Linked DNA regions of Nothobranchius furzeri. Each later gene encodes a partner of the first gene's protein in a complex. Links are inferred from orthologs where the notes say so. Each region holds a gene or a part of one and is shown on either strand. Other genes may lie near its edges.

Region 1 (4,506 bases):
ACTCTCTTAATCAGAAGACCTTTGTTGTCATTGTGTGGGTCAGTCCTGTTCAATGATGTAACTATGCCTCCACTACATACATATGCACCGCACAGAGTTGGTCACATTATTAAAATGATAAACAAAAAGACATTCAGGCAGTTCAATCCTCAAATTACAATTGGCTCTCTAAGCTTACTGACCCACCAAGTGAATGAGGCAAAAGGTTTCCATTGATGACACACAATGGACGTAGTTTTTGTTATTATAATTTTGTTTGTTTGTTTTTTGGGATGGGGGGTGTCCCCCACACTTTTTTCAATGTAAGTTCTTGTCCTCTGCACTTTTAATCGTTCAAAAACAATATTACGCAATAGGAGTGGGAATGAAAATGACTAACAAGGTGAAAAACAAAGTTGAATTGAAAGCCGGTCTACTCTGTTGGGCTTAGAAAAAATAGAGCTGACATACTTGGTGCTGCAGCCTGCTTCCAGCCTGTTTCCTTCGTGTTTTAGATCATGAACACAGCTGATTTGTTTGATTTAGTGATAAATCGCTCATGTAGACACAAAGGAAGGCTGGGGAGATTTTCAGCAATTAAGATTCAAGTGTTAAAAAGACAAATGCACAGCAAAGAGATGTGTTTTGCTTTTGGTTCTACGAAACGAATACTAGGGGGTGCTAAAGAAAGCAAAACTGCCAAATGTGCCTTTAAAGCAGGATATGTAATTCAGTTTCTATGTCCTGTTAAACCTACTGGTGGCACTGAGTGCTGCGCTTTGAGGTGTGCATGCTTTGTATGAGCAGGTGAGAGATAAATAGGACATAGGAGACTGAAAACTCAAGCTTGTCAAAAGAAAATGGAAATAAAAACAGAAATGGAAATTATTGACTGTGGTTGCTTTTAAAGGCTCACATGATTGGCGTGTGCATTTATTTGAGTATTATTGATATTATAGTCTTTTTAGCTGTAAATTTGAAAATCTATCTAATCTGTAAAACTGCTTATTTAAAGGAGGGAAATTAATGATTGTTTCGCAGTTGTAGTCATTTTTCAACTGTGCATTTTAATAATTGTGGACTAAGAAGGGAAATATTTCACATAGCCCCACCAAGAATTATTTTCAGCAGCCGCCACTGGTGTGGGTGTGTGAAATCTAAACCAAGCTACTCAATGCAAATAAAATTACCCTCCAATTAAAAAATTAAATAAAAAAACTGCTTGCAGATGTGTTTTTTATACACTTGTACCACATGTCTTTACATTTTAAAAATGCAAATGAGCGCATAAATAAATCTGTACAAACTGTTTCCTGTTTTTCCATATCCAGTGTTTTACTCTGGAAAACAAAACAAAAACATTTTTCGACTTCCCCGGTCAAGTCCCAAACTATTATGGTGACAGAATTCGGTGTGACACCCCCGCTCAGATGGAGATCAGCTGTTGGCTGTTAGCACAGACAGAGGAAGTGATGCAGGAAAATGTCCATAATGTAGTTCAATGACTAAAAGGGGGAAGCACAAAGAAATAGGCAGCCTTAGTCCGAGAGTGGCTCTTTAACTTGTTTTAAACTGCGAACCAACAAAAATGAATTCCGATACAAACTCTGACTGCTAATCATTTTATCATTCCCTAAAGGTAGAATAGAGTGCGACTTTATTATGGAAGTTTTTTCTTTTTTTTTCTTTTGGTCAGCTGCCTGCTAGTTTGCTAACAATCTGACGACGAGTTTGCCTCAGTTCGTTACTGCTGGTATTTCGGCCAACTTATTTGCCCACCTTTGTTTTCAGTGACATTTATGAAGTGATGTACATTCAAATGACGCGGCCTACGTTTTCCTAAAAAGGTAAGCTTTTTGAGGATATTTATCTCGTTGTGTCAGCCGGAGAAGACTTAGCATAGCCGCTAGCTAACTTTTAGCTATGTCGACGTGGTCAGGGCCAGGCACTTTAGATGTGGATGTTTAAATGGCCCGGTGACGAGGATGGATCGTTGATCAGTAACCGATTAGCGAGTATTGCCCGACTACTTTAAGCAGTTTAAGCGGACTATTAAACAGAAACTGAATCAGTGTTTACATTTCATTTGGAAGTGCTGTACATGTGCTGTTAAGCTCCCTTGATCCTGATCAAGAGCTTGTCTGTCTCCAACAAGCATAACTTATTCAGATCATCGTTATCAGATGTGTGTTTTTAAACCCAGCAGCTCGTGCTCGGTGACAACATAGCTGCAGATATTACAATTTAATATCTGGGCTGCTCTTCGCCTCGGACAGTTTTTAAGACCAGCTAATCCAGTTAAATTGACGTCTGGATGTGTTACACGGTGATGCCTGTTTATTGTGGAAAAGGGGGCCTTTAGACATCCATCTGATGTCAGAGACTTGAAGTTGGCCAAGTTAGAAGTGTGGGAGACGTGCCTCTACATGTCCAGGACATTGATCTGTACTGGCAATTTGCCCCTGAAGCCTGACTCTTCTTATTAATGTATGACTAGTGACTTTATCAATGATCTGAACAGAGTTGAGTTTGGGTTTAAAAATCAAAGCTGTGTATTTTGCATTAAGCATTGTGAATTATGTTTCATTATAACATGTGAGACTCTTTCTTTGTGGAAGCAAAGAGTTGTACAGAAACCCTTCAAGTGGAGACACAGAAAGATTACCCCACTGTGTAAATATTGCACAATGACTTCTAACTGTCATTTTAGGGTATTTTAAAACTGTCCAATAATTATTTTGCAAGAGGAGAGTTTTGACTTTCTCTTTGTATTGACAAAAATAGTCCCTGCAGATTTGGGAATGAAGAGCTATTGCTTTCTGCTTATGATGACAATATAATGTGTCTTTGCAGCGTTGCTGATCTCAAGGTCACAATGATGGAGCAGAACTGAAAGACAATGCCATCTGACGGAGTGTCTGTAAGTGAAATTGTCATCAGCTGCTCTTTTATGATATAATGCATGAAGTCATCACATCATGTGTGTGTGTGTGTGTGTGTGTGGTAACCATGTCTGTTTTAGTAATTAGGTTAGTGGAAAGAAAATGATGCATTTACAGATTAAACAAACTACCAAATTGATGTTTGCAAGTAAAAACAAAAAGTGATTGATCTGGTTTTACTCATGAATTACAACCACATCTATGAGAATATAAAATATATGAAGCATTGTTGAGCATTCAGTCTGAAAAATGTTAATGGAATGTCTTTCTGATTTTAAAAAAATGATCACAGGATTTGTTGTGTCTGGGTGCAAAGTTACGTATCAATTTTTTAGAGTTTTACTGATAAAAGTTAGTTAAACAATCAAAACATGCAACAAACAGGGCTTTGGAAACTCTCCCTTTATGAAAAAGCAGGTTTGTTTTAAACGATCCCAGACTTCATTAGCGACATATTTCTAAAGCACTTCCCTCATTATTTTCACATGCTGCAACAATAATCTCAGCAACAACAAGACATGAGGCATCAGGTTTAGCTCTAACCTAAATGTAAACTGTAGAAACACTTTTCTGTTGGCTCCCATCATCACATCAGTCAAAGGATTACACAAAATGCTGACATGGCTTCAAGGGATATGACCCAAGTAATTAGCTTGTTCAACTAGCTTAAACAGTAACTACCTACATTCACGGACTGCACACAGTCTGATGAGACATCACCTACAAAGCTGTGTGGGTGGATGGAATGAAATTGATCTGTACATCATTCATATCCCTCATAACACAGATTTTTACTCTGCTCTCTTTAACACCCACCCTGCAGGAGCTGAAGACAAGCCCTGTGTGTTACAAGAGACTGTAACAATTCTGGCTCATTATATATAGGTCCTTCTCAAAAAATTAGCATATTGTGATAAAGTTCATTATTTTCTGTGATGTACTGATAAACATTAGACTTTCATATATATATTAGATTCATTACACACAACTGAAGTAGTTCAAGCCTTTTAATGTTTCTAATATTGATGATTTTGGCGTACAGCTCATGAAAACCCAAAATTCCTATCTCAAAGAAATTAGCATTTTTCATCCGACCAATAAAAGAAAAGTGTTTTTAATACAAAAAAGTCAACCTTCAAATAATTATGTTCAGTTATGCACTCAATACTTGGTCGGGAATCCTTTTGCAGAAATGACTGCTTCAATGCGGCGTGGCACCTGTTAAGGTTGGTTTATGCTTGACGCGTCCGCGAGGTCCGCACGGAAAAGTTGCGTCATTTTGCGTCATTTTAACAACCACGCCCCTCCACCGCGCCTCCGCACGGCCCAGAATTTCCGCAACGCGCACCTCGGAAAATTTCTAACCACGCGGACGGTCGGACGCGGAAAAACATGGCGGACCGGCAAGAACTAGTACGGCAGAGGTTGGTAAATACAGACATTTGTATGATTCAGCTCTCAAAGATCACCATGATCAACATGTTGTTAATAATTCTTGGAGAGAAATAGCTCGCACTGTCGGAAAAGACGAGGACGCTGTTAAAAATGCTGAAATGCCATGTTGTAAACAGTGATTTCTACTTCT
Region 2 (4,373 bases), on another chromosome or scaffold:
AAAGGTTATGAACAGAATCGGTGACAAAGGGCAGCCTTATAATAATAATAATAATAATACATTTTATTTAAAAGCGCCTTTCAGGACACCCAAGGTCACTTTACACAAAACATGTAATAAAATACAATAAAACAATAATAAAACCCAAAGAAGAAAAAAACAGAGAGAAACATTTCAATAAAATCAGAGGTTGTAGGCAGATTTAAACATGTGTGTTTTGAGTTTTGTTTTGAAAAGGGTAAAACTGTCGACGTTCCTGATGTCTGGGGGAAGTGAGTTCCAGAGTCGAGGAGCAGAGCGGCTGAAAGCTCTGCTCCCCATGGTAGCGAGACGGGCAGAAGGAACCACAAGATGGATGGAAGAAGAAGACCTGAGTGAACGGGACGGGGTGTGAATACTTATAAGGTCTGAGATATATGGAGGAGAGAGGTTGTGGATTGCTTTGAAGGTATGGAGGAGAATTTTGAAGATGGACCTGAATTTAACTGGGAGCCAGTGAAGCTGCTGGAGAACCGGCGTGATGTGGTGAAAGGAAGGGGTTCTGGTGATAATACGGGCTGCTGAATTCTGGACCAGTTGAAGTTTATGAAGGAGTTTGTTGGGAAGACCATAAAGAAGTGAATTGCAATAGTCGATACGGGAGGTGACGAGGCTGTGGACGAGAATGGCGGCAGTGTGAGGGGTCAGTGAGGGACGGAGACGGTTTATGGAACGTAGATGGAAGTATGCTGACCGAATTATGTTATTAATGTGAGCCTGAAAAGAAAGTGAGCTGTCGAGAATGACACCCAGACTCTTGACGTGAGGTGAGGGGGAGACTGTGGCGCTGTCAATAGTTAAAGAAAAGCTGTCAGATGTTGAGGGGGTGGAGTTAGTGCCAACAAGAAGAAGTTCAGTTTTATTGCCGTTGAGTTTGAGGAAATTAGAGGTGAACCATGATTTGATTTCAGAGAGGCAGAGTGTAAGGGAGGATGGAGGGAGAGTTGAGTTGGGCTTACTGGAAATGTAGAGCTGGGTGTCATCTGCAAAGCAGTGAAACTGGATATTGAATTTGCGGAAGATTTTGCCGATAGGGAGGAGATATACTATGAAGAGGAGGGGCCCCAGGACAGAGCCCTGGGGCACACCTGACTTGACTGGGGAGGGTTCTGAGGTAAAGGATTTTAACTGGATGAACTGGCAGAGTCCAACTCTCACTGGGTCAATAATCACAATGAAATATTAAATCTTTACAGGTTCATAATTATTTGTAAAGGTGGACATTTTCCTCCAACCACATCATTACAAATACTACTACTACTACTACTACTACTACTACTACTACTACTACTACTACTACTAACAATAACAATTATTATTATCTTCATCATCATTATAAAAATAATAATAAAATAAAAATTATTATTATTATTATAAGTAGTATTAGTAATAGTAACAATAACAATAATACTAATGATAATTATAATATTAACGGTTATTAAAATGTTTATAACCGTCCACCAAGCAGCGCGGAACTATTTATCATTACCGTGTGTCCACACGGAAGCAAATAACAGGGCACTGCTCCATTGCGCTTCCGTTTGCCACCGGAGCGAAGTTTCTGTCAGCTGATTCCCAAATCAGTTCCCAGTCTGTTGTAGAATCGGTAATAACTAGTTTTGGATCCTTTGAGAGGAGGACGCGTCTGCTACCCGCCAGGTGTGGTGCTGCTGGCGGCAGCTTGAGCTCGCAGAGCCGCTGATTATGGTTTAGCACGAAGAGCTAGCTGGGAGACAGAAGGTAACACACAAAGAACACACAAGCGGCTCCTGGTGTGAAAAGTTCAGCCGTCAGAAAGGAGCCGTGTCATTTGTGCTTGTGAGCAGAAACCTGGTGTTGAGCGATCTGTCTGGAAACGTCTACGTAGCTTTTATTAGCAACATTAGCGAGGTGTTGTTATGGTAACCCGACCAAAGAGGAGGAGGAAGAAGGTGAAATCTTAAGTTGTCGCTCTAAATCAGCTGGTTTCAGCGCCTTTAAGAAGACTTGGGTTGTTTGTTAGGATTCCTCTGTTGTCACGTTGACTGGATTCGTGTGTGAAAGGCAGGCCACCTAGATGAGACGAAATGAGGGAAGTGAGCATTAATTTGTGATTAATAGGCTAGACTCACTGTTAAAGCTGTAGCAGGTCAGACGTCTGACCACAAACAGGCCTGAAAAATAAGGACAAAACAAATGGCATGCACTATTTTTAGCTTTATGATCAGTTTTTATGGAAATAAATTAGTATACTAATGATCAAGCATCCAGAGCAAAATAGACAGAGAAGTTCACCTTATACTTTAGAAAATTAGTCTTCAGACTTTTTCTTTGACAAAACAATTTATTTTCATAAATAATGAGTACTCCCCGCTGATGTTATGCTCAGACTCAAGCTCTAAATTGAGTGTGTGTGTATATATATGTATTTATTTATTGAAGCATAAAACTAGAACTGCATGACACTTCGTTGAATGTTAAGACTCTTTTAGGTATTATCTGATTAGGGCTGCCTGTCTTTCTTTTCCCTTTGATTGACCTCTGGGCGACAATATCTTGAGACCATTTATAACGAGGTCTGTGATTGATAGGTTAACAAACAGATGCATCTTTCTTACTTCATCACTTTTATTAAACGTACAGGTGAAAGTGGCTTGAAATGATACAAAGAAAAGATTGTTGGGTAGGTTTAAGGGAAAGCCTAAAGAGTCTTTCAGGTTTTCTAAAAACAAAACATCTATTGTACAAGACCTTGTTAAAAGTTTGGTGTACAAGCACTACCGTAGTGCGGCGATTAAAGTGTTGTTGCGTTTGTTTTGCCGCTGACTTTGTGAGCTCTGCTGTGATGATGTTGCCGTACAGACATATGAGGTGACTGACAGCTGGGGCAGGTGTGTGTCGAGTCGGGCTCGGCGACACACGACACCATCACTCCCCCTCTGAGTGAGCTCACCCAGTGCACAAACTGGGTTTTACAGAGTGGAGACGTTACAGGAAACCTCTTTTTACCTGGGTTTGTTGCACTAATACAGGTGGAGTCAGGACATCAGTTATAATATAAAGATTATAAATGATATTTGGGCCTAAAGCAAACTTGGCTCCAACTTTTCTTGCTTTGGCTCAAATTGTCCCAAACATTTTAGTTTTGTTTTCCACTCATCTGAAAGCACAAATGGACCCATTTGTTTGTTTACATCCAGAGACTAGCCGTGACCTTTCCTGATGAGGCTCAGGGGGCTTGACTTTGCTATGGCATCATAAGTGAAACATAAAGTTCATCTTTGTTTGCTGAAGTCATCATGTTGTGGTGTCAGAAACCCTGTCTGACTTCAACAGGATTACAGTTCGGTTTAAAACGTCACAGCAGCGTGTCGCTGAGTCACACCCAAGGACTGTTTTGGTGGTTTGGACTAAAAAGTTGAAAACCAGCTGGTAACACTTTAGAGACTCAGAGAGAAAAATGTCCAAAATAATCACTGCATTGTTTTTCCTTCTGAAGTGTTTTCAGTTTTTCTTGTTTAAACATCAAATAGAAAACATGACACCGTTGAACAGGAAACGTCTGATTCTGCATTAGACCGAGCCGCTCCACCTGTTTAGTGTAATCTGAGTTTATGCATTTATTCCCACTCCAGGTGCTCTTTGATGCTGGTGACCAACACGATGAGTCACAGACACAATCACTCCTCTTGGTGGAAACTTTCAGCAGATTAGTTTCAAAGCGAAGCGGCTCTTATTCAGCGTTTTCTCACACCTCTGTTCCCTCCCGGCCGGCTCTGAGCGGAACATTCAAACCAACTTTCTCACATACAAACAGACACTTTGTTGTTTCTCTGTTTGTTTGTTTATCTATTCTGATAAAATGAAGATGTGGATCTGTGTCACTGGCAGACGTTGGACAGGCGGTGAGGCTCGGGGCAGAGAGAGGCGTGTCTCAGCAGCGTAGCCATGCTTACATTGGCTAGCAAGTTGAAGAAGGAGGATGGAGGGAAAGCAAGCCGTGCCTCTGGAGCCTCAGACTCCACCCACAGGGTCTCCATCAGGGACCGCCTCCTGACCAAAGGTACCAGTATCTCCTTATCGTCTCGTTCCACTCTGAAGGATTTGTAGGCGTGGAACACTGAACCATTACTAATGATTGTCTCTGATTCTAATAGTAATGAGTTTTTCATGCAGGCTGAACATGAAAATAGTCTCCTACACCTACCTCCTGCATTAGCTTCTGATAGAAAACAGATGGTGAAACTCTAGAAAATCCTGACAGATTTACGTCACACTGTCACTAACATTCATGGACTCACCCATCTGGACTCACGACGGGGAAGGCTGTTGTTGGTTTAGTCCAGGAAACAGCA

The links.
Region 2: the proteins of dcun1d3 (region 1) and ube2f are in contact, whole or in part, in a crystal structure (PDB 4GBA), measured with the Homo sapiens proteins. The link is inferred for Nothobranchius furzeri from reciprocal best matches to the Homo sapiens genes DCUN1D3 and UBE2F. Residues at the interface, in NP_775746.1 of Homo sapiens: Glu108, Glu109, Glu112, Pro122, Thr123, Glu124, Met139, Cys140, Glu194, Ile204, Ala207, Leu208; in NP_001265234.1 of Homo sapiens: Leu2, Thr3, Leu4, Lys7, Leu8.

The regions. Positions count from the first base shown.
Region 1 is NC_091756.1:31,621,209-31,625,714, forward strand, and holds the start of dcun1d3 (DCN1-like protein 3), read left to right. Parts: upstream 1-1,441; 5' UTR 1,442-1,826; intron 1,827-2,832; 5' UTR 2,833-2,899; intron 2,900-4,506. UniProt on the Homo sapiens protein: Contributes to the neddylation of all cullins by transferring NEDD8 from N-terminally acetylated NEDD8-conjugating E2s enzyme to different cullin C-terminal domain-RBX complexes and may play a role in the cell cycle progression by regulating the SCF ubiquitin E3 ligase complex, after UV damage.
Region 2 is NC_091754.1:2,840,159-2,844,531, forward strand, and holds the start of ube2f (NEDD8-conjugating enzyme UBE2F), read left to right. Parts: upstream 1-1,567; 5' UTR 1,568-1,779; intron 1,780-3,886; exon of another isoform or gene 3,887-3,909; 5' UTR 3,910-3,966; coding exon 3,967-4,081; intron 4,082-4,373. UniProt on the Homo sapiens protein: Accepts the ubiquitin-like protein NEDD8 from the UBA3-NAE1 E1 complex and catalyzes its covalent attachment to other proteins. Together with the E3 ubiquitin ligase RNF7/RBX2, specifically neddylates cullin-5 (CUL5).